Linked DNA regions of Lepisosteus oculatus. The protein of the gene in region 1 binds, or shares a complex with, the protein of each later gene. Links are inferred from orthologs where the notes say so. Each region holds a gene or a part of one and is shown on either strand. Other genes may lie near its edges. The genes, in order: ppp4r2b, smek1, ppp4cb and ppp4r1.

The links.
Region 2: ppp4r2b (region 1) and smek1 share a complex: the UniProt entries of both Homo sapiens proteins name them as parts of the PP4 complex. The link is inferred for Lepisosteus oculatus from reciprocal best matches to the Homo sapiens genes PPP4R2 and PPP4R3A.
Region 3: ppp4r2b (region 1) and ppp4cb share a complex: the UniProt entries of both Homo sapiens proteins name them as parts of the PP4 complex. The link is inferred for Lepisosteus oculatus from reciprocal best matches to the Homo sapiens genes PPP4R2 and PPP4C.
Region 4: ppp4r2b (region 1) and ppp4r1 share a complex: the UniProt entries of both Homo sapiens proteins name them as parts of the PP4 complex. The link is inferred for Lepisosteus oculatus from reciprocal best matches to the Homo sapiens genes PPP4R2 and PPP4R1.

Annotation. Positions count from the first base shown.
Region 1 is NC_090699.1:51,220,698-51,228,337, reverse strand, and holds the start of ppp4r2b (serine/threonine-protein phosphatase 4 regulatory subunit 2-B), read right to left. Parts: upstream 3,044-7,640; 5' UTR 2,928-3,043; coding exon 2,894-2,927; intron 2,365-2,893; coding exon 2,283-2,364; intron 1-2,282. UniProt on the Homo sapiens protein: Regulatory subunit of serine/threonine-protein phosphatase 4 (PP4). May regulate the activity of PPP4C at centrosomal microtubule organizing centers.
Region 2 is NC_090703.1:20,030,259-20,037,584, reverse strand, and holds the start of smek1 (serine/threonine-protein phosphatase 4 regulatory subunit 3), read left to right. Parts: upstream 1-4,208; 5' UTR 4,209-4,974; coding exon 4,975-5,116; intron 5,117-7,200; coding exon 7,201-7,256; intron 7,257-7,326. UniProt on the Homo sapiens protein: Regulatory subunit of serine/threonine-protein phosphatase 4. May regulate the activity of PPP4C at centrosomal microtubule organizing centers.
Region 3 is NC_090699.1:2,941,056-2,949,229, reverse strand, and holds the start of ppp4cb (serine/threonine-protein phosphatase 4 catalytic subunit B), read left to right. Parts: upstream 1-5,105; 5' UTR 5,106-5,705; intron 5,706-8,174. UniProt on the Homo sapiens protein: Protein phosphatase that is involved in many processes such as microtubule organization at centrosomes, maturation of spliceosomal snRNPs, apoptosis, DNA repair, tumor necrosis factor (TNF)-alpha signaling, activation of c-Jun N-terminal kinase MAPK8, regulation of histone acetylation, DNA damage checkpoint signaling, NF-kappa-B activation and cell migration.
Region 4 is NC_090701.1:56,539,358-56,547,457, forward strand, and holds the start of ppp4r1 (serine/threonine-protein phosphatase 4 regulatory subunit 1), read right to left. Parts: upstream 3,028-8,100; 5' UTR 2,814-3,027; coding exon 2,441-2,813; intron 1,527-2,440; coding exon 1,391-1,526; intron 935-1,390; coding exon 828-934; intron 1-827. UniProt on the Homo sapiens protein: Regulatory subunit of serine/threonine-protein phosphatase 4. May play a role in regulation of cell division in renal glomeruli. The PPP4C-PPP4R1 PP4 complex may play a role in dephosphorylation and regulation of HDAC3.

The DNA.
Region 1 (7,640 bases):
TTCCACTATGAACATTTATCAAGATGGCCTGCATTCTAAACCAAAGGCAGGACCTTCCAATTACATGCAATGTAATCCTCAGAATAATCCTAGTGTATTTTTTTTTACATCTGTACAGTCAGAAAATGTTTTTTGCAACACACTTGGATGAACCAAACATCGTTGTATTAGACAATAAAATCCAGGACAGTTCTGTGTATTTTGACTTGCTATTCATTCTGAGACAAACTTCTTGTTTATGAACAAGATTTTTATAAGAGTGAAATCTTGAAAATCATCAAAACACATGGAATTATATATTAAGGAATGTATAATTGCAAACAAAATAACATGTGTAAAGTGTGCTATATAATTAACTCTCCACAAAGACTTGCAAAACAAAACGGTCAATGTCTAACAAAAACTGCCATTTGCATTTCTTTAAAAAGGACTGCCAGATTTCTGCTTATTATATTGTTTTACCTATATGGATATACATCTACAGTCCACTATGTAAGCAGCTCACTTTACTGCTACGCTGCTACTTATATCAACCTAACTGAAAGGCCTATAATTAGGCCTATACAGTTTAATTTAAAAAAAGGCATTACACTAGTTTTGTTCACTATAACGCATTCATCCTAATATGAGGACTAAAATGGTCTGAAAACTTGATCAAAGGTACAATAATAAGTTAATATAAATCTTGAGTTAATTTGCTTAAGTGTGACTTAAGTCTACTTTAAAGAACTACAGCATACTAAACTAGTTTTAACTATTTAATAAGGCATAATTTACAAATGTAGATAACGAGAAGCATCTAAAATGCTTTAAATATTCACACGAATTAGTTGAGATGCAATTAACAGCAATCTAAGGCCTGGTTTTGAATTTTATTCAAAAGTATTCAGAAAACACAATATGCTACTTTTGCAATCTTAATCATAAAATTCACTATGCCTTACATAACAAATAAACCAGGGTCACCAACACAAAATTTATATTTATTTCCCTTTACTTACAGTTGTTTAATAATTACACATGGACATGGCTTAGTGTAAATCATCAGTGACTTAGTAACAGCACTACAATCTGCTTAAATATTTTGCAGAAACTTATTTCACCGATTAATAAACAAATTTCAAATTTGACCCAATTAAAATGTCTAAAGTGACAGCTCATATGCCCCAGTTCAGCTGTTGTAAAGTTTACAACCAGATTGTTAAATAACACTGAACAGATCACCGATCCACCTCAGCTTCGTAAACGGGCCAAAAAAAATATAGAAAATCTAAAATTCCAGTTTTGTAAAGCCAAGTTTATTTTCACTTCCAATTTCAATTTCAGGAATTAAGAAAACACTTTGGGCATGATGATAGATTAAGGGGTGTTTTAAGGGAAAATGTATATTTAAATCCCTTGTTAAGCACAATATCAAGTGTATTAGCCATACTAGCTTCTTGATGAAAGAGCAAAAAATGTCCTATATATTTGTTCAAATCTAGGAAGGAGGGGCATCAATGAAATAAGAGGAACAAAAGTGCACACACAATGCAAAGGTCACAGTCAGTGCAACACCGTGACTTAAACCAAAACACTACCATAAAATACAAAAAAGGTCAGCTTGGTGCAATGTGTAATATTGCAGAGTGTAAGGAGTTGTTTTTCACTTGGAAAGTGCTCTAAATAAAGACTGCATTAAGACGTGCATTAAAAACTTGTTTCCAACACATATTTTCATATATTCTACATATTGCAATACATCACTGCAAGCAATAAAATATTCTCTCCTTCAGGTGAGAAATTAAACAATGCTAGGATTCCTCCATCTAAATGAAGCACGGAAACTTAAATCGAAGGGCACTGATCAATATCTTTATCCAAAGACTGTAACAAAACTACACTTGAATCAGCATTTCTCCCACCTACTACGGATCAGATACAAAATTAAACGACTATTGTGCCATATATTGTTTAATTTCTAACTGCTCACATAACTACACATCTGCTTTTATACGGTCCTGTTTTGCTAACAGGTGTTTAAAACCAGAGGTTCCCCTGATCCCTTTAGAAGTATATAGCGGTGTTCTCAGCAGGCTGTCCTCTTCAAAGACTAATTTGATCAGATATTTCGGATACAAAGTAAGCCAGCAGTAGTCTAGGTTACTACAGACATGAGACATGTATATCCAAACTGCAGTTCTCTCGATCCCCGTTGGGGAGACAGTCGTTACCATGTCTGTTACTCTACTCCTGAGACACATTAGGCCTCTTGCGTGCGGTTCGTCAGTAAATATACTTACATGGTCTCCCCAGTCTTTGCGACATGACATAGAAACTGGTCCAGCGTCGGACACACATCCTTCTTGCCTTTCTTCTCAAAATCTACACATAAAGACAGATAAAGGGGGAAAAGTAAGAGCCACATCAGTTGGGTCCCACACAGCCTAGGTGTCTGTTAACCGTATGCTGCAAGGAAAGTTACAGCCACTGACAGGAACTAGCAAAATAAAACTCCACATCAGGATCAGCTGTCTGCAGGAAATTCTCAAACTTTCCCGGCGCAACATGAAGAAAAACACACGATTAAAGTTAAAATGTTTGAATTTGAGCATGTAGTTTTACAACAGCTACAAACGTTGGTTACCGGCTTGGGGTTAAAAGTGCACATTATAACACAACTAGACTACACCAAAACGATTCAAAACACTTCCCTGAGAGAAGACTATTGTTTTAAAGTGTATAATAAGGTATCCAAATAGCCCTTAGTTAAATTTATTCTAAAATTGCACACACAACAACAGCCACATTCAACACCTTACTACTCTTCAATCCTAATCCCGTTCCGACCACTTCTATTCACACTTTTTCGAATGCCGGAACGAAAAAGACAGTAACGTCTACGTTTCACAACCTTTCAGGGCCTCCAGAAGTGTGTCGATTTCCATGATTGTGGCGTGAAATGTTTGAAGCTCTTCACTCCGTCTCTTTCTCCTCCTGAATCCAACAGGAAACAGAAAGCTGGCAAGCAGCGTCCGAGACAAAAAATCAGCACTTCAATATGGCGCCCGTGTCGTCACTGCCTGCCTGCACACACACTGAGCATGTGCGAACTGCCAGGCGGCGCTCATCCTACCTCGTTTCACTACTGTACTACTGGAAACACCATTAAACCCGGGCAGCTGGTTCCAGCCAGTCGCGGAGAGACCCATCAATAACTGCTTCTCAGGGGATTGCGACTTCTCTGAAGTTTGCTAGGTTCTTCTTTTGCAGCCGTGTAGTCAATAGCTTTAAGGTAGCCTTTTTGCTTAAAGATTTTCTATTACTATACTGTCGTTGTTGTATTTGGAAGACATTATCCAAGACAACGTGCAGCACGAAAATCTTTAACAGAACAACTTCTTGAATCATTAAATTTCAAGAGAAAATAATTTTAATTCGTTTTTTTCTGAATAGATATTTTTCTAAATATTTTCTAAATATGTATTCACTAGTGCCATTTTCAATGTAATTGCTTTTAATAAGCTATGTCTATAAAACAAGTCACTGTACAATAAAAAAAATAGAAACTGCAGTATTGAAGTAGTGTTGTAGAGTTACAACAGAGTGACAGTTCTGTAAGCCTGCAGTTATTTACACTACAGCATTACTGCATTTAGTACTACCTTAATTGTACTGCATCAAATGTAGGAGGCTTATTACTGTTTCCAAAAGGCTACATTGTAATTGCAATATTAATATTGCTAAATGTGTATCATTTGAGAAGTGTGCAATACTGAGACGTGGGCTTGATAAGGTTACTTTATGTGAACATGTACAAGATAGGATGAGGTGCATCTATAGTATGTAGAACTGAAGACTTTGCTGCACCCCCAAGGAAGACTGCTAGGGGCACCCCTGCACATGCTTATTGTAGTTTAAGGGAGGCTTTTATAATTGTGCACCTCTTTTCTACTTACTACTTTTGTGCCATTAAGTGCTTTATCTATTTTTTAATTTCACACAGGAGGCACTGCTGTACTTTAAGCTACCATGGACATTTTGCTTTTCTGCTGTATAAACTAATCCCATCATTGTAATACATTTTTAGAAGGCTCATAGCACTACCAACTCGACTGACTCACAGTTTTTCAGATGATTTGTCTTTATGAATTTTCACTTTTGGTGATACTTACCTAGAAACTATTGCAGTCAAGCCCCGTCTACTGTACCATACATTGATAGTAAGCATGCTACTGTAAAGTAGCATCTATTTGCTGTTCTCTTGAACAGCTGTTCATTCACCTCCCCACATGAATTATTGCTGAGTTGAAATTTTTCAGTCAGTGACTTAGGTTAACCATTGACAACTACAAGCAGAGTGGGCCATTTTTATTGCATTGTGTTCTGTATGTTGCTAGTGTTTCAGCAGTCAATGAGTTATAGGACTATACCCTGTCTTAAATTTGATGTCAATAGACAGAATGTAATAATCGGATATTTTATGTTGTATATTTCTAGTTAATGTAGGAGGGTTAGGAGAGAACTTTGTATTCACTTTGACATTATAGTGTATTTTGTGTAAATCTGTGGCAAAAATCCCAATAAAATACATTATGATATTAATATTTAAAATATTTTAGATGTAAAGCCAACAGAAAAAGCCTGTATTTCAAATGTTTTTTTTGTTTGTTTCTGTGTTACTTGTAGGTGGGGATGAGAAGTATGTTTCATATTTCTCTTCAGTACCATTTACTTTGACAAAGTATTAACTCTTATTAAGTGGAGCCAGTCAAGCACTTTGGAAATAAATGTCAGCAAAACAAAAGAATTAGTGCTACACCAATTTGTAATTAGGCAGATTTGAGCCAGCCACACTTCAGCCTATAAATATAAATTGTCAGCTTGTGGACATTCTTCCTTTTAAGTATCTGGGTACATACAGTACACTGATAACAAACTAAAATTCTTAGACAACACAGAGCATGGTTTTTTTAAAAAAAACCCATGCAGAGATTATTTCTCTTGAGAAGGTTGAGGAGCTTTGATGAAAGCAAGCACATCCAAAGATAGTCTATACAAGTCTGGGAGGGAATGTGCTCTCTTTTAACATCTCTACTTGGTATGGGATTCTTGGTACCAGGTGTACAGCTAGGCACTGAAGGATTATAAATATGAGCAGCAAAAGTATTGTTCAGAAATGGAACCAGATGAACCACTTGTATACAAAGAGTGTTTGCAGGAAAAGTAAATGATGCCTCACACCCACTACACTCTTGGTTTGAAAAACTACCATCTGGTCAACAGTTTAGAATCCTGAAGGCTACAAAAACACATTTTTAAGAACTCATTTGCTCAGAGTGTCATTACTCTTTTAAACTCTGATGTATGAGCTCCTTCAGAGCACAGTATTTACAGTATATTTATATGTATGGACAAATTTGAATCTTATATGTTTTTTATTGTATTGTTGTTTATGTGGGATTTATTGTATACAACTCCAGTGCATTAGATGTTTTATGTTTTCTGCATTTGTTGTCTCAGTGAGGTCAATAGAAAAATCCCACTCTGTGTGGACAATAAACTAAATTCTGATACTGATATACAAAAAGATGATTTCCATCCACTGAAAAAAGCAACAGTGCTCAGTACTTTGCAATTTTTTTAAATTCTTGCAACTAACACAAAATATTGAGGTAAAAGAAAATTAAAGTTGCTGAAAAAATAAACAACACTTACAGTTCTTAATTTAATATAAATACTCCAAAATACCTTTTATTATACAAAATCAGAGCCTCCTGGAAGAAGTGGATTAAACCCTTCCCAAGTCACAAAATAAACTTCTATGATAATATTAGGGAGCAGTAGTGTATCAGGCAAATGTCTGGATTGTGGGTCTCACTACTGTTTTAAATTGAGTGAGGTACTTTACCCCTAATTGCACCACCCCACTGTATAAGTGGACACCATCATTGCTGGGGTAATCTCACACCCCAGGGGGATCCTGCTTTCTAGTCTGCTAAGTTTTGGCCAGATAAATTAATGTGGCTTGGATATGGAAATTACCTGCCTATAATAGTTTTATCTGCAATCCACTAAAATTTGCTTTATTTTGGAAAATAAAAGTATCAAAGGGAAGCAGAGTGGCACAGCGCCGGGGTTGTGGGTTCAATTCCTGGGTTGCTATCTGTGTGGAGTTTGCTCCCCCAGAGTTGCATGGGTTTCCTCCAGGTGCTCCGGTTTCCTCCCACAGTCCAAAAACATACTGGTAGATCATTCAGCTTCTGGGAAAATTGGCCCTGAAAATTTGTGTGCTTCTTTCTACCGTGCAATGGACTGATGTCCTGTCCAGGGTGTACTCTGCCTTGTGCCCATTCCTTGCCGTGATAGGGTTCAGCTTCCCTCGCAATCCTGAACTGGAAGAAACAGTTAAAAACTGGACAGATGAATGGAAGTCTAAAAGACAAATAGTATGCAAAGTTTAGTAGAACTTGCATACAGAAATACTCCTGAAATGTGTTTAGATGAGGACCAATACTTCATTCACATTCACTGATACTGCCTGTTCAAACTGAAATATTCAACCTAAAACAGGCACAGATTTTTGAGCAATACTTCTTTTGGACCACTTTAAGGATTATACTAAGGATTTTTCCAGAGCCAACCTCCGTGACATTGAAACACAGGGACCACCAGATTGGTGAGAGGAGAGGGAAGGCCAGCTGGCCCTCTTGCTCACTTGGTTAGTAGTTGTTAATTGACCGCAAGATCTCATCCAAGCATTTCTTGAAACAGCTGATAGAGACAGTTTTAACAATATGGCTAGGCATCCTGTTCCAGACACACACGTCAGGAAACTGGGTTCTGTACAAGACACAGATGTTTTGGTATATCTTGTCCATACATCCATATGTGAATGGCTTGCTAAACGTATAAGAATTTGTATTGCAAATAAAACATAGCGACACAGTATGTCCTTGTGAAAAAATTAATAGCTGAATGAATGGATGACATGTTTAACAAGGCCTCATAAGTAACTGTGTGTGACCACAAAGCAGAACTGATCTCTTGGTATGTTTCCTGGTTGTGTGCCAGCTGCCAGTTCTGTGCACTCTGCTGTTGAGGGATGGCACACAAACAAGGAAAAGCCAACAGTACTTTCACATCTCTGAAAGCCTTACAATAAAAACACAGAACGCACCTTGCAAATGAAATATTACAATGAATAAAAAGGAATGAAGAAGGGTTTTTTTGCTTTTCTTTTTAAACCACATGACCCATGTAAATCTGTAAGGACTGTGGACCACTGATTTTTCATTTATGTTCTTTAACATCTGTAACTCCGTGCTAGACTGAGAAATAAGTCACTGTACTATACTTTTTTCAAAAGTTGAATACATTTCATTTATAACAAGACAAGAAGGAAGCAGACCACATAATGCAATGTTTCATTCTGGTACAATCATCATTGTGCAGTCATTTTATGTCTTCAAAAGCTATTTTTATGTCCATTTATGACAGATTATTACTTCATTTAAAGGGGAACTGCAGTCCCAATTTTTCAAGTGGTTATTAAATCTCCGTAACAAAATAAATTCATTAACGACAGAGAAAAAAAAATATAAATTTTGCATTAAGCATAAAATTGTGAACTTTGTGAAAGTACTGTAAGTTTTCTCAAA
Region 2 (7,326 bases), on another chromosome or scaffold:
ACCAGACATGGAATATTAATGTTACTATTGTAAGACTCTTGTGACATAATTGGCTGTTTTAAGAATTTGGAAGTTCCGATGTTCTTCAATTTAGCTGTATATATGAAGGAAGCTGATGTTCCATAAATCACATTACTTTTGTAATTTTGTTTGTGAAAAAGTTAGAAATACTTGATTCATCATTCCTTGTCTATGCAGCTTAAAACAGCTAACAGGAGAATAAAGAGTTATTAGGTAATATTTAGTAAAAGATACCATTTGTGCTACAACCATAAGGCAATGCTATTGTTGTTAAGCATAAAAGTTTGGGATGTTGACAAAGAATAAGAGGAAATAATTGGAATTCATAATCAGTACTGTCAGCTTACTAACTAAACAAGTCCACCTTTGTCATCTGGTTGGTTTTATAACCTTATGAAACCAATAACTCATCATTTCACTCTCAGATATCTGCTAATTCTGGGTTAAAGTTGTGACAGCGCATCGCCCATTCCTTGAATACAAGAAGCAAGTTTGACCCCAAACCCGAGAGCATTTCAGACACCAGTGCGACCTGCTCTGTCACCATGTGCCTCATCAAACTGGGGCTTAGAGTTCAGATGAATCGGCGTGAGAAATGTGGCTTTACAGGGAAACAAAGAACAATATAATTGACGAAACAGTTTTTGACATTTGTGATTGCGTGGCAGCAAAAAAAAGAACAGTCTTTTAGTCAGACAGAGCAATGCACTCTAGTATCACAAGGAGTCTGAAGAAGGCGGGGAGGGTATGAATAAGTGCCTTTGCTGAGTAGGATTGCCAGTTGTGTTTTATTTCAGGGGTGACTAACTGAAGTACTACACTAGGGAGGTTCTCATTGTGAGGAGGCTGCACCCCTCTCTGGGAGCACTGGCACTTGGCCTCCGTCCTTAAAAACTGAACTGAAGACACACCTCTCCTCTCCAGCCTGCACTATAGCTTTCAGATTTCTTGCGGCCAATGAAGTATGTTTTCACTGAAAGTGCCCCATGAATGTGAGTGTCCCCTAGATTGTAACAGCTTAGAAGAATGAATCATTATTTTTATAAATGCATAACCTTTTTATATACAGCGGGAATTGAAAGTAACATGCTGAAAAGAGAGGACGGGAAACAACGTTTCGGATGTGGATCCTTCTTCTTTATGTTGGTTGTCACTGCTCTGTATTATTGCACTGTTTGTAATTTTCCTTTGTAATTCTCGCGCTTTCAAAAGGTACTTCACTAAATAAGGATTGTGACTGCTCCTGTGCTAAAAACACTTTGTTTTCTTGTTAACTTCCATAGTAGAGACTGGAAGGCACAAAATAATAGTATTATTATTATTGATAATGATGATAATATCGTTGATCATGATGGTAGTTTTGTTTTCCATCGCATGGCCAGTCATGTGGCCGTTTCGGTGATCCCTGTGTCTCCATAGTGCAGACAACAAAGGCTCTTTTTTGACTTCATTAAAGATGCAAAAAGAGATTGGGCCCTCTAAATTCTCAGTTTAGATTGAATCTTTATGCAACAACACAAGTACTGCATGCCTGCTGACATTGTTTATGTTAGCTGTTTGTTTCACATAGAAACCGTTCCAGCTCTTTCTTTCAGCTGCAGTGGACTTTTGTTTGTTGTGACTGTGCTGTCCTCATTCACTATACAATTAATGGTTTACTTAGTTCCACACTGCAAAGTACATTCTGTTTACATATCACAGTTTGCTGCCATGGAGACCAAAAAAAATATCTCTGCTGGTTTCAAAAACAGAATACTGCTTGGGTGTTTTACTGTACTGGGCTGATGTAATAATTTCTTAGTTTAACTGTCTAGGTTGTGGTTTGTGGGCTCCATTTATTTTAATTTAAAAACCTTAGTACTTTTTCTTCACCTTGAAATTGTCAGATACAAAATAGACTTTGTGATAAATACCACTGTTGTTTATGATCTTTCAACAAATGGAATTTTCCATTTTTTTGTGATGTTTTAATTGTCTTAATCAACATTAGCATGCTGGGAAATCATGACCATTTTTGTTAAGGCTTTCAGATGGCAGAACGCAATACAGCTTTAAACTCAATTACAACCTACCGACTGGTATCAAAGCAGTGTAAGGGTCTGAACGTCTTCTCCCTCCCCCAAAAAATCCACCTTGGAATGATTAGAGCACTGCTTATTGGGCAGCTGTGTGGATGACTCAACGCAAACTTATTTAGCTTTTCACCCTTTAAAACAAAAGCATCCAGTCCATCTAACTGCTTTTTCCAGTACAGGCCCTAAGGACAGCTGGAGCCTGAACCGGCAAGCAGCGCGTGCTAGGCAAGAGCCACCATGAATGGGATGCCAGTCCATCACAGGGCACACATTCATGCCAGGGCCAGTCTTCTCAGAAGCCAGTTACCCAATCGGTATGTTCTTGGACTGTAGGGGGACGCCCACACAAACACAGGGGAAACATTCAAACTCCATGGAGGTAGCACCCCAAAAATTGAAGCCAGGGGCCCAGCGCTGTGAGACAGCTATACTGACCACTGTGCCACCGTGATGCTCAAAACAAAAGCAGCTGAATGTATGCTTTATGTAAAGCATTATCTGCTATTTAAAAAAAACACAACTATTTTTAGTGTATCAAAATAAAAGCTGAAGACACAAACTTGCCATAAAAACAACAGTAAGTCAGACAGCTTCACAACATGTTAATGTTTCCTTACTCTTATATAGCGCTTTTCTGGACACTCCACTCAAAGCACTTTACAGGTAATGGGGACTCCCCTCCACCACCACCAATGTGCAGCCCCACCTGGATGATGCAACAGCAGCCATAGTGCACCAGTACGCTCACCACACATCAGCTATCAAGTGGGGAGGAGAACAGAGTGATGAAGCCAGTTTATAGATGGGGATTATTAGGAGGGAATTATTACAAAAAAGGCCAAAGGGAAATTTGGCCAGGACGCCGGGACAACATCCTTACTCTTTTTTGAGAATCACCCGGGGATTTTTAATGGCCACAGAGAGACAGGACCCCGGTTTTACATCCCCATCACTATACTGGGGCATTAGGACCCACACAGACCATAGGGTGAGCGTCCCCCAACTGGCCCCAATCTTTTCCAGCAGCAACCTTAACTTTCCTAGGTCTCCTATCCAGGTACTGACCAGGGTCACCAGTGTGTTGGCAGTTGAGAGTTGCAGGGTAATATAACTGCTTGGGAAGCAGGTTCTTCTTTGTGATGGGATCCTATAAGGAACGTCTGAGGCCTAGTTGTTAAAAATAAACCTATTAAATGAGCACAGCAACAGTAAGATAACTTAAAATTCTTAAATGTCTGGTTGGAGAGGAGATACGAGTCTTGGGTCGATAAACAGGGCACACGGGCATTATACTGAATTATAGAAAATGAAAATCTAGTGAGATGAGACCAGTCCTTCCGCAGACTCTATTTTTCTGCACATAGAGGATTCAAAACCACACTCGTGTCTGATTTCTGGCTCGGGCCACTCTGCTACTGAAAATCTTCAGTCCCATTTCCCCCTGCTCCCTCCAACCCCAACCCCAGAGCCCGTTCCTTCTCTAACCTCTCCCCTTAGCCACAGAAACCACAAGCCCCTTGCACCTGCTCGAGAAGCACCTGGGGCTCTCGGCTACATCCTGCAGCCACTGTTTTTCTGTAGGCCACTAATGTTTTATTCTGAAACTAGTCATGTAATTTACAAAATGTACTTGCTTCTAAACCTGGAATAGGTAGTCAAACAGGGGGACTTCATCTTTGTATCCGGACTACCGGTACATGTTTCACATTGTTTCAGTTCCTACAGTTTTTGATTTTCACTTCCACCTTAATTGTCATTTTATTGATTTGATTTATATTTTACCACACCTACATGTTATATCTGTTGTTTACTGTTTGCACACGTCTAAATCAGATGTACATACAGCTAAAAAATTAATTGGCATTCATGGGTTTATCTGTCCTGCAAGCTCCTAAAATACAAATATTTGGGGGCTTTGTTGACATCAGTGTAATATTCTGTAAATTACAGTTACTTCTTGGGAAAAAAAGTCTTATCTGGCTCCGATATTACAAGCCCTTACTGATTTTTAGATGTCAAAGTAGTTGGTAACCCGAACATGGAGAGTCTGAAAGGTGCGATTGAAAGCGCTGTTCCTTTAAATAGTGGCGGGCTGCCCCTGCTGCCGCTGGGCTGGAGACCCCGTGCTGGCACTCTGAGGGGACCCAAGATGGCGGAGTTCTGATTGAGGGAACTGTAATTATAAAATAAAACTGGGAATTAAAGAGAAACTGTAGTCGTGCGTGGGGGGTTCCGTATAAAGGGAGTTCAAGTAATATTCCGGTTGAATTTATTTAATTTTTAAATGTGTTCAGAATTGTGGGGAGAGGCTAGTCTCTCTCCGCGGCCCGAGGACAGAACATGGCGGAACGCTAGGGAAGGGGTATAAATAATAGAAAATAAATATAAAAACAGCCGGCTGCCTTTAAAATTAAAGATCCGGACACGTCCTTTCGCGGAAATAATGCAGTCGATCTCGCATGCGGTTCTGTATGAAGCGTTCATTGTTTCCAAGAATGAGAAATACGCGCAGATAAGGGCTGTCGACAACACCGATTCTCCAGTCGTGCTCTGAACATTTTCTTTCCCTCTCCTTCTGCCGAATTTCGTTGGTGGCCTCCTTGTGCAGCCGGGGTTATATCTCGCTTTCTCTTTCTCTTGTGCAGCGGGAAGGGCAGTGTTTTACAGGGTTGCGCAACTTGAGGTAAAATGGCGAAAGCGTCCTGAAGCCCTCGGTAGCAAGGCCGCCCTCCCGAGCTGGGCGAGTGTGCGCTGTAGTAGGCTAGCCGTCTGATCGCCCTGACGGGCCGGGCTAAGGATCGGAGACCGAGGGTCCGACGCCTCTGGGGTGGACGACGAAGCGTGTTTTCGGGTGTGAACAGCGGGGTGGGTTAGCAGAATGACGGACACTCGGCGACGAGTGAAGGTTTACACCCTTAACGAAGATCGGCAGTGGGACGACCGGGGCACCGGGCATGTGTCCTCCGGCTACGTGGAGAGATTGAAAGGCATGTCCTTGCTAGTGCGGGCCGAGAGTGACGGTAAGTGGCCAGTAGCTGCCCCCCCCCCAAAGTAAGGTTCTGTTAACAGGTTTTAGTGCTCGCTTGCAGACCTGGGTAAAGTTTCGATCTGGTTTTAAGCGCCGCTGGTGCCTGAAAGTTGCGCGGATACTTGTGTAAACACGTCGCCTGGCTTTTCCCTTAGTAAGCAGTGATTTGATTTGTGCTTTCGAGGTCTTAACCGAGACAGCTCTACAAATCAGGGGGATGTAACGCTGGGCGAAAGCCGCACAACATGTATGTCTTTGTATTGTTTTAGCAGGGTTAGGGTTCGATCACTAGATGCAGCCTTGCAGATAATGGGGGTGCATGCCGAGGATCATTGAGTTTCCAGTGTCCTGCTATTTAGTGCGATTGCCGTACTTAATGCCCTCTATAGTTGTCCACCCCTACGTACACAAGTACAAAATTACACCTTTCATCTCCTTATTAACGTGTGATTGCACAACAAAGGCGTCATAGATTCTGATTTCCAGGTTTGAGTAAAGATACAAGGATTTGCACAAAACCAATCATTTATTTCAGACTTGTATTTGAATGCATCATCTATTGTGTCCAGGTATTGACAGAACGAGGTCCGAGAGCCTCATAAATACTGAATCATGTTTGTATTGTCCTGAAGAGTTGTGCCTGCAGCTCTTATAATGTAGACAGTCTCTTATTGAACGTGCAGTGTTGGATCTTCGGTAACAGTATCGAAAACGCAACGTTAGATTAAAAAAAATCCTCTAAACGTGCTGCTTGAAAGTGCTTGTTTTCAGTCCGCTGCTCGGCTGCTCGTCCTGCTGCGCTCCTGCAGCTTGTTCAGCCTGTAACCTGTTGGAAGTTGAAGGAGTTGCACCAACTCGTCCGAGCGCCATACCAGTTGGACCGGAATAATAACTTTTCATCAGTTTCTCGTTCTTTACTGATCATTTTGACATTCTAGACGTTGTTTTTTTGTTCTTAAGCTATTGAGTTACATCCAGAGGTACTGATTTCAGATTCTTCTAATCGTCTTATCAAAGCTTCTTATATTCGTGCAGGATGAATTGTAGTACTGCCTAAGGTTGTCTGTCATTGTGTCTACAATTAGAGCATGCGATTTTAGTTTTTATGTATTACAAATGGCAGCACAGCTAAAATGTGCTAGAACAATTTGTACATTTAATAGTACAGTTTGCAGTCTTTAATTGTTAACAAATTAAAAGATCGGCCTTAGATTTTTTTAACTTGTACAGTATTTTTTATTATTTGCTCTTCCAAGTCCTAAAGTTGAAAAAGAACAACCTTATGTGGCACTAATGCTCCAGTCTTTTCAAGGAATCTGGTTAATTGTGTAATGTAAAATGCCATGACACCTTGGGCCGTCTCTTGTGTTTTTTCTCATTTTTAATAGGTTATTCCTTAATTTTAAAACTGCATTTGGGGTTCCATTTCATCAACACAAGTGGAACATTGCAGGTGTTACTTAAATTTAATTTTGGTAGGCAAGGAGTGAATATACCTCACCCTTTGTTGAATGGAGTGGTTGCTTTTCTGAAATCAGAAGTAATTCATTTTGTAACATTAATTTTAAAAGTATTGAGATGATTTTGATGGCATGAAAATGTTTGCCACCAATGGGTAACAAGCTCATGGAGACTGGTGATTGAATTGTGTGCACTTTTCCCAGTATTTCGGAAAACTAAAATGTTTGCACGAGTGACAAAGGAAATATTTTTAACTTTTCTGTATTCAGTTTATGCTTTGATACATTAGAAAACAAGTTTTGTTTACATCAAAGACATGATCTGCAATTCCTATCTATAGGCCATTCATTGTTAAAAGTGCTGAAGAGTAGCTGAGACAGGTGTGACATAGACTGCATTCTTATGCTGTGCCAGTTTCCTACCCCTGTTCTTGGACTGAGGACATGGCCAACTGCAGGGCCCTGTGTCAAGATGAAATTGGAAGCACTCTGTGATTTACGCATGGCAAAGGGATAAAGATATCGACATTGAGTTAATAAATTGCACTGAATTCTTTCATTTTACTCTTTATTGGGTACCAGTGAACACATTATGTAATGTTGCTTTTTTTTGCAGGTTCTCTTTTGTTGGAGTCAAAAATAAACCCTAACACTGCTTACCAGAAGCAGCAGGTAAGTTTCTTTGAAAGTGTAACTTTTTAAAGTCTCGGTTCTTTAGATTTTAAGTGTTGACGCCTTAAAG
Region 3 (8,174 bases), about 48 Mb from region 1:
TGGGATCAATTCCCTCAGTGGCCATATGGAGAAGGGGGGTCTGATTGGGATAACACTTGGTATGAGTGTGATAAAGACGGATCAGGGTCTCCCCTGTTAGAGGGAGGGCGCCCGCAGATCTGTACTCTCACTTGAAGTGGGAAAGGACTTGATGTAGCAGGGGCTGGCGCCGTTGATGACAGCGCCACTCTAACACTGTCTCGCACCCCGTCGAGGGGGTCTGCAATCGCACCTACCTTCCCTGATTTCCCCCATACGATCAAATCCAAAACCGTAAGATATTGACCGGTGGGCTAAAGTACCGCACCCGAAATTAGAAATGCAGCGAACCTGGAGTGCGCTTCAGGAATTAAAAGGATTCATGTAAAAGTAAAACAAGAATACAGCACATTGTATTACGAAGAGAAAAATATATTCTCGATGTGTATGTGTGTTTTATGAATTTGTGTGCCGGCATGTATGTGTGTAACTGTGAGTTTTGGTCTACTAAATGACGGTGTGAGTGTGTTTAGCCAGCGGGACTGGCTAGAGACGTAACTAAAGAGACTTGACGAAAATCAACTTAAGGAGATTGGAAAATATAAGAGCGTCTGAAACGTATAAGTACAGTACAGGTGGACGTAAAAGTAGTTAAACAGTTTTTGTATTATTATAAATTATTATAAATTGTAATTTATACAATTAGTTGCAATAGTGGAAACAATTTGGTTTTATTCGAATGTCTCGAAACCAGACATGCTGAAACGCTGTAGGTTTAGAATCGAGACTGGGGAGAATAACGTCTTGTGAGAAAATCTGTTTACCTAACGATTAGATCCTGTAAATCCCTTGTAGCCTCCCTAAGTCTGTCCCAGTCCAGTGAATAAAAATGTACTGTTAATGGAGTGTTGGTTTCTCTGTTAGGGGATACTGGAGCACTACTGTCCTGCTTGTTTCACTCCTCTGTTCAACAGTGTACTATAGAGCAATGTATATGGGAAGATGGCAGGAGGCCACAGGAGTATTGGGACAGCAAGTTTTACTTGCCGAGTACCAGATTTTAATGGGTGGTTTGATCCCAGATCTATTGGGTTGAAATATTATGCATTACAAAGAATGACTATGCAGAACAGGGTATCACGTGGCTTCAACTGGCTGTGATCACTCAGTATGTTGATGGTATTCTGAGTGCTTCCCCTGACGAGGAAACCCACAAGTCTGAGTTGCTTCAGCTTTAGAGTGTCTAATAGAAGCAGTTATGATAAGGCCCTTTTGTGTCTAGCATTGTGAAATTTTAACAGGGCCTGGGTAATATGTTTTTTGCAGGGTGAGCACAACTCTTAACAGATCTGCTTAAGGGGGGAGTGCAGTACAAGGACAAGATTGCCTTGGTTCCTGCAGCAAAAGCCGCCTTTAATAATTTGAAACAAGTTCTCTTACAGGTGCTGAGACTGGGGTTTCCTCAGAGGGATCAACCATTCCTTTGTATTATTGCAAGTAGCTGACAGAGGCCACCCAAGGAGCCCGCGAGCAGGTCCTGGAGGCGTGGGGACCACCACCTGAAGGAGGGCACAAGCTCATCCCAGGAGAGTGGGTGTGGATCAGGAAATTTCCTTCACAGGTTCTCCAGCCCAGGTGGGATCCAGATCCTGTTGACAACCGAGTCTGCGGTTCGAGTGGAAGGAAAAGATCGCTGGATCCACGCGCCACACTGCCGACGAGCCTCATCCCCATTTACAGACTCAGAATGAAATCATTTCTGTTTATAACAATAATTGTTGCTGTAGGACTATGTTCCGCAGGGATTCATGATCATCTCTCCCACAAAGGAGAACATGGAATTAATTCCTTTTTAGGCCTCTCCTATCTGACAGCTAAGAAAACCAACCAAAGTGCCTGCTGGGTGTGTGCCGCATTACCCAAATATGTACAGGGAGGACTTCCTATGGGAGCCATTACTTGGCGTCGCGAGGAAGTCATAGGCATGATCATTTGGAGGGATAATTTAGGAGATTTTAATATGACAAACTATGGGGGTTGCCATAACACGACTTTAACCTGCACAACATTACAGTATCTACAGGAGCGAGGCTTAGAGCCCACGAGTTTCACAGGCTCTTACGCTCCTAAATATAACAGAAGCCATACACCACCATACCTGACTCTCAATAAGGAACGTGAGGGAAACATATGTTTTCAGCACACTAATTGGTCTGCACTTGGTTGGATGGAGTCGTTGCAACCTTACCAGCGCTGCAAATATATCCACCTCTACCTCCCAAATTCCAGGATGGGATCGGCACACCCCACAATTCGGTATAAGCTTCTTATTTTCAGAGGCATGGGGAGCGCCAAACGGAACATATTTCATTTGTGGAAAACGAGCCTACCCATGGCTGCCAGCCCAGTGGTCTGGCTCATGTTATTTAGGATATGTGGTTCCTCATATCCGTGTTCAAACCCACAGCCCCTTCGGACCTAACCACAGACCACAAAGAAAATTGGCTGATTGGGAATATTATTTAGGTATAATATTTCCACAAGCCGGCATGAACTTTCTGAGTCGAGAGTTAATTCAAATGGCCTCGACTTTAGAAGAATTAGCAAAGTCTACCTCATCTAGTCTGAAGGCTGTTAATGATGAGATGGTAGCCCTCAGAACAGTGGCCATGCAGAACCGACTAGCTTTAGATTATGTACTGGCGGCCCAAGGAGGAACTTGTGCAGTAATTGGCACTGAATGCTGCACATATATTCCTGATAATTCTGAGCACATCTCAGATCTGGCCCAACACATTTACAATGAGGGACAGAAATATCAGGACTATTATACTGAAAATTGGGGAATTGGGTTTTGGGTAAAGTCTGTGTTTGGGGCCTGGGGTGGAACCTTTTTATAGTGTTTATCTGTAGGAGTAGTATTGTTTATATGTATAATTGTAATCATCACGTGCACAAAAACATGTATCACATCTTGCCATAACCGTGGAACGTACAATGTCATGGCAATACATACCTGTTCGCCAAGAAAGGAAAGATCTGCCCTGACATTGTATGTATAAAATAGGCTACACTGACGTATGCCATATTTTATAAGGGGGGAATGAAGAAAGATGTGAAGACGGGGGTTTGAATTTAATCTTTTCTGTAGGGGGTTTAGACTTCCAAGTCACAAGCTGGGGTTTATGGCAGGAAAGGGGGTTCACTGATAAGGAGTGCAGATGCCAGCTAGGAACCCCCCTGGGTGTAATGTTAAACTGACCATTTGCCCAGAACATCGTAAACTGGCCAAATACCATGAACCCCCCTCTTTACCATCAGACCGAGTGACGTCAGAAACGGAGAAGAAGACACTATATAACCCAAAAGTTTGTAACAATACGGAGAACAATACTTCGGTTTTGTTGTTTCTTGCGGGAAACAAGACTTCGGCTTTATTGTTCCTTGCATGCAATAAACTCATCTGTTTCACTTCATCTCGGGATCAAGAACCTTATTTCTTCTGTTACAACAAAATCCTGTAGCCGGCAGAGGAATCCTACTCTGTTAGGCTCCTGAGCGAGGCCCTTCACCCCAACTGCTCCAGGGGCACTGTACAATGGCTGACCCTGCGCTCTGACCCCAGGCTCTCTCTCTGTCTGTGTGTCTCATGGAGAGCAAGCTGGGGTATGTGAAAAGATCATTCCTAATGCAAGAAATTGTGAAGGGTTAATAAAGTGATGATGTTGATGTTGTTGATTATTATTTCCTCTCTGGACAGCCAGGTCTGCCTGTGTCCAGTGTGTATTTCCAGGCTGTGTCTCTGAGCCTGTCCTCTCTGGACAGCCAGGTCTGCCTGTGTCCAGGCTGTGTCTCTGAGCCTGTCCTCTCTGGGCAGCCAGGTCTGCCTGTGTCCAGTGTGTGTGTCCAGGCTGTGTCTCTGAGCCTGTCCTCTCTGGACAGCCAGGTCTGCCTGTGTCCAGTGTGTGTGTCCAGGCTGTGGTCTCTGAGCCTGTCCTCTCTGGACAGTCAGGTCTGCCTGTGTCCAGTGTGTGTGTCCAGGCTGTGGTCACTGAGCCTGTCCTCTCTGGGCAGCCAGGTCTGCCTGTGTCCAGTGTGTGTGTCCAGGCTGTGTCTCTGAGCCTGTCCTCTCTGGACAGCCAGGTCTGCCTGTGTCCAGTGTGTGTGTCCAGGCTGTGTCACTGAGCCCGTCCTCTCTGGACAGCCAGGTCTGCCTGTGTCCAGTGTGTGTGTCCAGGCTGTGTCACTGAGCCCGTCCTCTCTGGACAGCCAGGTCTGCCTGTGTCCAGTGTGTGTGTCCAGGCTGTGTCTCTGAGCCTGTCCTCTCTGGACAGCCAGGTCTGCCTGTGTCCAGTGTGTGTGTGTCCAGGCTGTGTCTCTGAGCCTGTCCTCTCTGGACAGCCAGGTCTGCCTGTGTCCAGTGTGTGTGTCCAGGCTGTGTCTCTGAGCCTGTCCTCTCTGGACAGCCAGGTCTGCCTGTGTCCAGTGTGTGTGTGTCCAGGCTGTGGTCACTGAGCCTGTCCTTGCACAGAGAGTGGTGGGAGTGTGGAACGAGCAGTTGATCACCTGCCAGGCTCGTTCTTTCTGCGCCAGCACCAGCAAAGGGCTTTGTGCCTGCTGGCCCGCAGGGGAGTGTGTGTCCATCTGTCCAGCCTCTCCCTTGACAGACCCCCCTCGCTCCAGTTTGTACCCCACTCTGTACCCCAGGGGTGTCAGCACCGCCTCCTCGCCTGCAGAGAGAGGAGACCCCTCCAGTTTGTACCCCACTCTGTACCCCAGGGGTGTCAGCACCGCCTCCTCGCCTGCAGAGAGAGGAGACCCCTCCAGTTTGTACCCCACTCTGTACCCCAGGGGTGTCAGCACCGCCTCCTCGCCTGCAGAGGGGCTGAGGCTCAGCTCCGGCGCCTTTCGGGCGGGCTGACGTCATCCCAGCCGCGGCGGGCGTCCCCCCCCCCTCCACCGCCCTTGTTGCGTCATTTCCTGCCCCCTGCCCGGCACGGGGCTCGCGCCTTGAGGTTGGCGCTCCGGCGCCATCTTGTGGTTGTTCTCGCCCGTGCGAGCAAGAGCGGGGAGAAAAAACTTTTTTTTTAACGTGTTATTGTTGTTGTTGTTGTTGTTTTTAATTTTTACCAAAATGGAAGAAGGGCTAACTAGTTAATACTAACAGGGCTGTAAGGATGAACACCCCTGGCTTTTCTTAAGCAAAACAAAAAAAAAAACCTCGATTTTCCTGCGTGCTCCGTGACTTATTAAGGAATGGGGTTCAGGTGGCGCTTCAGGCCCGAACCCCTGAACCTCGAATGAGCGACCTCGTTCCCTAACCAGCGCTGCTGCGGGCTGTTAGCAATTTCAACAGGAGCCGGGGGGCTGCCGGCGGTGGCGTCGAGGACCAGAGCGCATATAAGAGGGAGGAGGCGGAGGAGCCGCTGAAACCACAGCCCGTCGGCCGCCGCCGCCAATAATCCCTGCTCTTGCGCGTCCCCGGACGAGTGCCCGTGCCCGGGAGCGAGCCTCGCTCCCGACACCGGAAGCCCTGCGTGCGCGCCGCCGCCGCCGCCGCCGCGCGTCCCCGAGGGCGGAGAGGAAGCGGAGCTCCAGCCGGCCGAGCGCAGCGGGGAGACAGACGCGGATCTGCGCACGACCGGCCTCCCGACTCCCGGACAGAGACGAGTCCGCTGCTATCGGTGCTGCTGCTGCTGCTGCCCTGCCGGCCCCTGGACGCCGAGGTAAGGCCGCTCCCCGGGGGCCGAGGGGTTTCTGAGCCGGTTTGTGTGTATTGGGGGGGCTGGCGGCGGCGGCGGAGGCGCCGGGCCCGGGGGGGGTCGAGTCGCTCCCCGCTCCCGGGCCGGGCCGGGCCGCCGGGCTGGAGGGCCGCTGCTGGAGCGGAGCGGAGCGCCCTGGGCCCCCGGCCGGGCCGCGGCGGCGAGCCGGGCCCCGGCGGGGGGACAGGCCGGGCGGAGGCGGCGAGGAGGCCGAGCGGAGTCGCTCCAAGATGGCGCCGTGAGGCCGCCCGGCTCGCGGAGCCCCGGGGCGGGAGAGCGCGGGAACGCGCGCGTGTACGTGTGTGTGTGTGTCCCGCCGCCGGGACTGGACCGGGCCGAGACTGGACCTGCAGCCGAACCCGGACGAGCCGCTGCCGCCCGGCTGTCTGTGAGACGCGGTGTTGTTTACCGGGGGGTGGACGGGCGGGCCGGTACCGGTACTGGTCCAGGGAGATGGGGGCGATTATAAGGATTCAGGGACTGTCCTGCACCGCAAGTTCCGTTTTCTGGACAAACGTCGGTGGTTCCGACGAGAGAGAGAGGAGCCGGGCAGCAGGGTGTGTGACGGGGGATCTGCCGTGCAGTGGTCGGGGACTGGGGCTGTGTTGATCCGTCGTCTTGACTCGCCTGCCCTGCAGAGCAGATTTCTCCAGCCGGGACAAAGTAAACAAAGTTCCTGCGGCCCGTCTTCCTGGGTCTCACCCATTCACTCACCCACAAGTCTCACCCATTCCTAGTGAGTGTTCAGTGTTTCTGGGGTCTGTGTGTCTGGAGAGCCCCTCACAGCGCAGGGACTGGTCTCCTCTACCTGTGAGGAGCCCCTGCTCTCCTGCTGGGGTCTGTGTGTCTGGAGAGCCCCTCACAGCGCAGGGACTGGTCTCCTCTACCTGTGAGGAGCCCCTGCTCTCCTGCTGGGGTCTGTGTGTCTGGAGAGCCCCTCACGGCGCAGGGACTGGTCTCCTCTACCTGTGAGGAGCCCCTGCTCTCCTGCTGGGGTCTGTGTGTCTGGAGAGCCCCTCACAGCGCAGGGACTGGTCTCCTCTACCTGTGAGGAGCCCCTGCTCTCCTGCTGGGGTCTGTGTGTCTGGAGAGCCCCTCACAGCGCAGGGACTGGTCTCCTCTACCTGTGAGGAGCCCCTGCTCTCCTGCTGGGGTCTGTGTGTCTGGAGAGCCCCTCACAGCGCAGGGACTGGTCTCTACCTGTGAGGAGCCCCTGCTCTCCTGCTGGGGTCTGTGTGTCTGGAGAGCCCCTCTCAGTGCAGGGACTGGTCTCCTCTACCTGTGAGGAGCCCCTGCTCTCCTGCTGGGGTCTGTGTGTCTGGAGAGCCCCTCACAGCGCAGGGACTGATCTCCTCTACCTGTGAGGAGCCCCTGCTCTCCTGCTGGGGTCTGTGTGTCTGGAGAGCCTCTCACAGCGCAGGGACTGGTCTCCTCTAACTGTGAGGAGCCCCTGCTCTCCTGCTGGGGTCTGTGTGTCTGGAGAGCCCCTCACAGCACAGGGACTGGTCTCCTCTACCTGTGAGGAGCCCCTGCTCTCCTGCTGGGGTCTGTGTGTCTGGAGAGCCCCTCACAGCGCAGGGACTGATCTCCTCTACCTGTGAGGAGCCCCTGCTCTCCTGCTGGGGTCTGTGTGTCTGGAGAGCCTCTCACAGCGCAGGGACTGGTCTCTACCTGTGAGGAGCCCCTGCTCTCCTGCTGGGGTCTGTGTGTCTGGAGAGCCCCTCACAGCACAGGGACTGGTCTCCTCTACCTGTGAGGAGCCCCTGCTCTCCTGCTGGGGTCTGTGTGTCTGGAGAGCCCCTCACAGCGCAGGGACTGGTCTCCTCTACCTGTGAGGAGCCCCTGCTCTCCTGTTGGGGTCTGTGTGTCTGGAGAGCCCCTCACAGCGCAGGGACTGGTCTCCTCTACCTGTGAGGAGCCCCTGCTCTCCTGCTGGGGTCTGTGTGTCTGGAGAGCCCCTCACAGCGCAGGGACTGATCTCCTCTACCTGTGAGGAGCCCCTGCTCTCCTGCTGGGGTCTGTGTGTCTGGAGAGCCCCTCACAGCGCAGGGACTGGCCTCTACCTGTGAGGAGCCCCTGCTCTCCTGCTGGGGTCTGTGTGTCTGGAGAGCCCCTCACAGCGCAGGGACTGATCTCCTCTACCTGTGAGGAGCCCCTGCTCTCCTGCTGGGGTCTGTGTGTCTGGAGAGCCCCTCACAGCGCAGGGACTGGTCTCCTCTACCTGTGAGGAGCCCCTGCTCTCCTGCTGGGGTCTGTGTGTGTGTGGAGAGCCCCTCACAGCGCAGGGACTGGTCTCCTCTACCTGTGAGGAGCCCCTGCTCTCCTGCTGGGGTCTGTGTGTCTGGAGAGCCCCTCACAGCGCAGGGACTGGTCTCCTCTACCTGTGAGGAGCCCCTGCTCTCCTGCTGGGGTCTGTGTGTCTGGAGAGCCCCT
Region 4 (8,100 bases), on another chromosome or scaffold:
TTTTCGTGCAAGCGTGAATATGCAACCAAAACAACTGAAGATAAACAAAGACAGAGAGGCTTCAATACATTTCTGCACTGCAGACCAACGTTTTGCACAGCTGTTGTAAATACAGTGTGAATTGCTTGCTAGAGCAAAGATCAAAAAGTCACTGGGATTCTCAGCAGAAGCTGTTTTAAAACTAGTTCATTTTTAACCCTCATGCATGTCGTGGGCACCACGAGACAACCTAAAATAGAAACGATCTTAACCTTTTGGAACCGTGCAAATAATACGAGCTTGCATCCATGTGGAAGAACTGCACTGCTACAACAGTGGATCCTTTAATCCACTCAAATGTGTCAAACAGCAGGGGGCCCAAAACTGGATTAATTAAGAGGTCTAGTATTTCACTGCCCTTGGCCTTTTAATCAAGTGAACGTTACCTACACTTCAGAATCTTAGCTTGTGAGCAGCACCACACCAGTAAACCAGCAGGATTATAGACACTACTTAACTGCTACAGACCACTGAATCAGGAAACCACACTACTCAAGGGTATTTAGAATTTATTAATTAAGAAAAGGATTAACAACCACTCAATATACAAAAAAGTTTAACCGCCATGAAACTAATCTCACATGTATAGCCCCATTATAAGCAATTCTAAATTAACCACATCATGAGATTAAAATGCAAAGTTGTAAGAATCACAACAAGTGGGCGACACATGGGAGTGAGCCCCAGGACAAGCACAGTAGAGAAGAGAGGACCGAGTGAACCAAGGTGATCTATTACTGCTCGGACTCCCTTTGCCAAGTTGAAGGCGGAGAAGAGTCGGGGCCTACCTGAATCCTCTGCCAGCCGGCTCACTCTCTCCAGCACAGCGATGCAGTCCCGTTCATCCTCGCTGACTGCCTTCAAAGTGTCCAGCAAACTTCGGGCCACCATTTGTCTGGAGAAACCGAAAATGATACATCATACCAACTGGTTCCAGTCGGCCGACAGCTCAGGCCACTACACCAGCACAAGCGCAGCAGCACCACGGTGTCCAGGGGCTTCGGTGGCTCTGTTCTTTCACCCTCTCTCTCTAGCACAGCAGTACGCTGGGATCTCCAGGGGACCTGTCTTGACTTCACGTTGAAACAATACACAGCGAAAATCATACATGCAAAGAATGAAAAGGAGCAAGACTGATTAGATTTGCAAGTTGCAAAGGTGGGAAAAAATATGTAAAAAGCCCAGAGGTTTGCCTGGACATCAGACAACAGGGAATGGACAAGTTTCCAAAACACAATAAATTAAATACGATTCAGCAACAGTCTGAGGGAACAGAATGAGGCAGCACTAATCATATTTTAATTCAAAGTCGCAGGCTAAAAAGAAAAACGTTTTCTGGCCTCTGGCATACCTGTTAAAAATGTTTTCGCTTGCAACGTATTTATCCAGTCTTCCTAAAGGTGTCAGCATCTCATCTTGAGAAACAAAGTCCAGGGCTGAAGGTATAATAATGACATCAGACTCTGAGCTGTAGTCATCCACACCAACTATCAGAAACATTGGAAATACGGGCTTACAATCATAAAGCAGGCAAACATTTATCAGAAAATCAATGATTCTTACATCAGTGAAGCTTGTTTCTTGTATGCATAGAAGCTTTAACTATATACAAAAGAAACTTCAAACAAAACCAAAATACTTCAGAGCCATGATGTTATGCTTATATAAAGTGCCTGGATTAACAAGGAGAAAACTGTTAATGGAAGATTTACTAAAGGAACCCGTTACAGTTGCTGGCAGCAGCAGCACAGTTTTCCAACAACTTTAACTTCCATCGTAACATCCTTTTCAACTGCAACAGTTAAGGTGCAAGTTCTTTAGTAACTGGTGAGGGCGAATCTAGTCTCCATGATACTTCAAAAGACAGAAGCCTGCTCCAGATGTGTTTTTTATTATTCTTTTACCGATGTATCTAAAAGGAGAGTACGTTGCACAACTTACTTTAACTTTCATCAATAGGTAAGTAGATGCTAAACAAAGGAAAACTTTACATCCAATGCACGAAACCTGGCGGTGAAGAGGTTAAATACTTCCATGTATGGATCGAAACAAAACAGCCGTGAGGAGGGGCGTGTTTTGTTTGTGAAGCCTGCTCAGTTCGACAGTACCGATGGACGACGGATTACAACATCCCTGCCAGGGTGCAACACACTCCCCCTTCGCTACCACCACAATTGAACTTCAACCACCAGCACTTCTTCGGGCACCACTGGCGAACCCACACACACACACACAAAAAAAAGAAACTCGTCACACACGAGAAGCCAGCAATTCACTCGTGAAGTGCAACAGCCACTTTTCCCGACCCCGGTGGCAACGTCTCGCTGCTGAACACAAGACGCGAAGCCCGCAGGTCCGACTCTCAGCTGCGAGGGGTTTGCAATCGCCCTGCAAAACACACCGACACGCCGCTGCCCTGCGGTGCGCTGTCCGCCGCCCTTCGGCCCGGCTGCTGGTACCGTCGTGACTTTTGCGATGAAGGAGAGTCCACATGGACCGCCGGCTGCGTCGTCCCTTTTCAGTCTGGGGCTACAGTTTCTCCTCCCCGGCGAGACTCCTCTTCGCCAGAAATCCCTCCTCGCCTTGCAAACACACTTCCAGGGTGGCTGTTTTTCATACGTTTTCTGTCCCCTCCACGTCTCTTTGGGGGGGCGACAAACCCTCGCAGCCGCCGGCTTGAACCCGTGTCCCCCTTCCTTGCTTGCCCGCTCTCTTTCTTCAGGAAACCCAAATAAAATGGGTAACACGCGTCTCCACCCCCCGAAAAAAAACATGCCCCACCGGGGCAGCCCAAAACGAGACGCTCCAAAAACTTTTTTTTTTTTGCTTTGCTTTTGTATTTGTAAAAGAAGGGCTGGTTTCCGGATGCTAACTCCCTAGGCCCCGCAGACCAGCCGGGAGCTCCTCCAACAACACACCACCGTGTATCATCATCATCATCATCACCACCACCGCCGCACTCGGTCGCGGCGAGAAAGTTACGGGGAGAGGAAATTAAAAAAAAAAACAGCACTCTCTTTCTCTCCCTCTCTCTTGCACAACACACACACACACACGGAAACTTACATCCGTCTATCTCCTCCTGCGAATCTCCCTGGAGCAAGGACAAATCTGCGAAAGAGAAGACGAGAGAGAGAGGGAGGTCAGCCGCCGGCCCGGCAGCCCCCTCCGCCCGGCGAGCACGGCTCCAGAAACGGGGCAGCGACGGCAGGAGAGACCGCCGCTGGCGGGACGGCGAGGGTCTAAAAAAGAGGGGGTTTAGGGGGGGCCAGGCTCGAAAGGGGAGCCGGAGCGGTACGTACCCGCCATCTTGTCCTGGTGCTACATTTAAAGTGGCCTCGGTAGCTGAGGCAACAACCGGAGAAGCAGGCGGCGAGGGGAAAGAGGAGAGCGGCGCAGCCCGAGAGAGAGAGATGGGTGGACGGAGGGCTTTCAGCGGCGCGGCGGAAAGCACGGCGCCCTCTGGCGGGCGGCCGCGGGAGCAGCGCGGCGCTCGCTGGGTCTCCGGCATGGGAGACGGATGGGGCGGCCAAGTCTTTTCTGATCACAGCGCCAATACAGAACATGAAGAGAAAAAAATATATATATTCGACTGAACAAAGCCATGGAGACAATTTTACGAAAATGAGTCCATTCACCCAATCCAAACAATAAACAAGAATGTGCATAAAACCGTTGTAAACTTTTATAGCACCCAAGTACAGAACCGCAACATTTATACCTCAAACATTTTGCTTCCCTGCTATGTCCTTCACAGTCTGTTTAGTAGAAGTCCAGCCTTTCATTTAGTGTCAAAGGGGGATTTTATTTTCCCAATTTTTGGAACAGTTTTAATCCTGGATCTTCTCTTTCCTAAATTTGCGCTTTGTTTCTTCTCTAGCAGAGTCATGACTTGTTTCTGTATCACCTCGTTCAGAAGCAATATCACCCGGCAGCTCACCGCTGGCAGCCCCACTGGAACTCAGCAGGTGTGAGCCTGGCCAGTACCTGGATTGGAGACTCCATGGGAAAGCTGAGGCTGCTGCTGGAAGAGGTGTTAGTGGGGCCAGCAGGGGGCGCTCTCCTTGCTGTCTATGTGGGTCCTAATGCCCCAGTATAGTGACGGGGACCACATTGTCGACCCCATGATTTCCTGTTTTGAATATGGTTAGAAAAAGTCCTGAAACAAATACATTCATATACTGTACATATAAAAATGTACTGTATAAATTCCCTATGTAGCTTAATGACAAACACATCTTTAATAAACATACGTTTATGATAATTTGACACTCAGAAACTTTTATATTCCTGGGAAAGCGAAGGCAGCTGCTGGAAGAGGTGTTAGTGGGGCCAGTAGGGGGCGCTCACCCTGCGGTCTGTGTGGATCCTAATGCCCCAGTATAGAGGCGGGGACACTATGCTGTAAAAAGACGCCGTCCTTCGGATGAGATGTAAAACCGAGGTCCTGACTCAATTCAATTCAAGGTACTTTATTAGCATGACCGATGGCTCTCTGTGGTCATTAAAAATCCCAGGGCGTTTCTTGAAAAGAGAAGGAGTGTAACCCTGGCGTCCGGGCCGAATTTCCCATTGGCCCTTACCAATCATGGCCTCCTAATAGATAATAGATAGATACTTTGCTGATCCTGTGAGGGAAATTGCAGAAAAGCATCGCCCGAACAGGGACTTGAACCCTGGACCCTCAGATTAAAAGTCTGATGCTCTACCGACTGAGCTATCCGGGCTCTTACACGCGTGAGCTATGAACTGGTTTCATCGCTCTGCTCTCCTCCCCACTGGGAGCTAGTGCGTGTTAAGCGTACTAGTGCATCATCCAAGTGGGGCTGCACACTGGTGAGGGTGGAGGGGATCCCCATGACCTGTAAAGAGCTCTGAGTGGAGTGTCCAGAAAAGCGCTATATAAGTGTAAGCAATTATTATTATTATTATTATTATTATTATTATTATTATTATTATTATTTTTATTACTTTGTGCTGTTTCAGCACCGAAAACATAAACCCCTTTCACTGCATCATCCCCAATTAACAATTTGCCTTTTGACAATTGAAATGCGCATGTGGCAAAAGGGGAAAAAAAAACTCCTTCGACGCCTGTGCGAAGACAGTACTGGCGTTCACTGACAGTACTGACAGTACTGGCGCTCACAGCCCGTTCTCACGTATGGAATTACGCACAATCTGCCCCCCCCTCGTTGTCCGGCTGAAACACCGTCTCTTAAATATTAAAATGCAAGTCCGCTGTTGGCACATGACATATTCAGCAACACGCCTTCCTTTCCGTGCAAAAAAAAGTTACGCTGATAGCTTAAGTAGGGTTTCACAATGGTTACAAGCGAGAGGGAGTCACGTTTTGCGAAGGAAGCCAGGGGTACTAGCTTTAACAACACGGCCGACTCGCTTGTTCCAGACTCCCACAACCCTTCGTGCAGAAGAAAGTGGCTCGTGTGCCCGGGTTTTAAGTACCCTTCCACAAAGTCTACACTTGTATCCTTTAACCCTCGTTTCATGGTTTATTCATGGTGTAGGCCGCTGGGTTGGTTTTAATCGGCGACTTGCAGGATTTAGAATACTTGCATCAGATCCCCTTGAAGTCTGCCGTGTTCGAGACGAAAAAAAAAGTTTAGTTCCTTCAGGGGAAGGATATTGTCAGTCAGTGTAGGACATTATTTTTAAGTCCAGGTATGTCGTTTCCTTTTTTTTCTGGACTGATTCCAGAGCCGAGGATATCTCTTTTTAAAATATGGTGAGCAGAACTGTGCACAATGCTCTCGGTAAGAGCTTACTGGTACCTCATACAGTTTTAACATAGCAGCACTCGATTTAAATTCTGAGCTGAAAACTGCATCAGAATGTTCTGTTTGCTTTTTAAATTTCCTTGCCTCAGTGTTTGAAAGCGAGCATTTCGTATAGTACCGATAAGCCGGAGTCAGTATTGTCTGGATAAAAGGGGAAAAAAGAGAGCGCATTTTACAGCTCACATTTCTCTTCTCGACGCCCCGTTGCAAATTGGCTCTTGAAACCCAGGTAATACGGCTCCCTCTTGTGGCAAATGAGTACATTTTCAAAATGCACGGAGCTAAACTGGCACTACACGGATTCCTGAAAGGGCCCTACATTCTCACCTCTTATCTGAATCTGTACGGCATTCGGTTGAGAAATGCAGGACTTAAGATACTCAATACATCTAGCCCATACCCTCTGTCACAGAGTATTTGTCTTTTTTTCACAGGCCGTATTGGAGGAGACGTCTCCAAGTCACAAAGAAATGGGGAGATGAGTCAGTCGTCACTGCAGAGTGACACAGCTCTCAGCTGATCAGTACCGAGAGCTCAGTGCTGTACATAATCCACTCATCGCCAGGAAGTCCAGGCTTTAGGTGGGTCTGTGGCGTCACTATGTCAGAGATACTGCCAGTGTTGCTCTCCAATATGCTGTGCGTAGTGGTTACAATTCAAACGCGAGCAGGGCTCTAGGCTGTATTCAGAACGAATACTGTGGGGTTCTTGGGCATAATAATTCTCTGAATCAGATTGAACTGTAATGACATGCTGGCTACTGGGTGAGAATTGTCCGTATCCTTCCAATTTTTGTTTCTTATCATTCATTATCTTCCTTAGAAGGAGGATTTTTATTTTTAATTTTTATAGCAGCATATATAACGCCTTCAGAAAGTCTTCACATCCCTTGGATTTTATAAATACATTTATATGGGATTTTTTCTTTGTGTGTCACTGACCCACGCAAGTTACTCTATAATGTCATATAATGGAGCGAACTTTATGGAAATGTGTTGCACAGAATTTGAAAGAAAACACTGAAATGTCTTGATTAAGTATTCACCCCCTTGGCTGTGGCTACCAGGTGCATCTCATTTCCTTGTGAGATCCCGGAAACGTGAATGGATCCCACCTGTGAGCTCAGTCTGCTGACCGTGCCTGTCCATTGACAGCAGTGCAGGAGGTACTGTCTTTGCCATGGTCTGACAAAGGTGGCTCAGTGGTCAGCACTGCTGACGTGCAGCCCTGGGGGGCTGTCTGCGTGGAGTTTGTATGTTCTCCCCGTGTTTGCGTGGGTCTCCTCCAGGTGCTCTGGTCCAAAAACATGCTGGTCAGTGAATTAGCTTCTGGGAAAACTGTCCCTGGGGCAAGTGTGTGTGTGTCTATATGTGCTCTGTGATGGGCTGGCGTCCTGTCCAGGGTGTGTGTGTGCCCTGTGATGGGCTGGTGTCCTGTCCAGGGTGTACCCTGCCTTGCGCCCTTTGCTGGCTGGGATAGAGTCCAACTTCTCCACAAACTGGATGAAGCAGGTGCTGGAAGTTGTGGAAGCTGTGACATGTAGGGGCAGTCCACCCTGAAGCTTCAGGATATGTTGTCCAGGTCAGGCAATTGTACACTAGCTCACAGCCGAGTAGTGATGTAGAATTGAACAGACTTGATCCGCACAACTTTATTTAGAGGTGAATCTGTGCTCTGAGCTCATTTAAAGGTTGAGTCGATCAGCAGCAGCACGCGATCGACTTCTTTTCTTTTTATGGTACTCCCGTTTTTGAAACGCTGGACATTTTGTTTTTATTTTCAGGAATCAAAATGAGGCGATTAAAAAAAATGAGTCAGCCTGGCAGTATAAGTACACAGGCGAGCCCCAACATGGACTTACAGTGAGCTCTATCAAAGAGAATAAGTTTGAGTCAGCTTCGGAAAAATGTGCTCCAACATTCAAATGTTCATACCTGCAGTATCGATTGACCTCTCATTTAAAGGACACGTTACTTCATAGAAAACACGACCTCAAAGCCTGTGTGGTAAAACATGTGGTCTGAAAAGACCTTAGAAAAGACCTTGCTCTCTCTCACTTGAAATAAGGGCCCACCACACCGAGCTGAGCTGCAAAAACTCACACGTCAACAATTTCACGCACTAGTCCATTGTGAACGTTTCTTTTAAGAATAGTACTCCATCTGGGATTTTTAACAAGGGTTTCGACTTCGTACGCTACAGTAAGTCGTGGTACATGTCAATGTCGAAAAAGAAAGATGTTAAATGAAACAACTTCACTTTC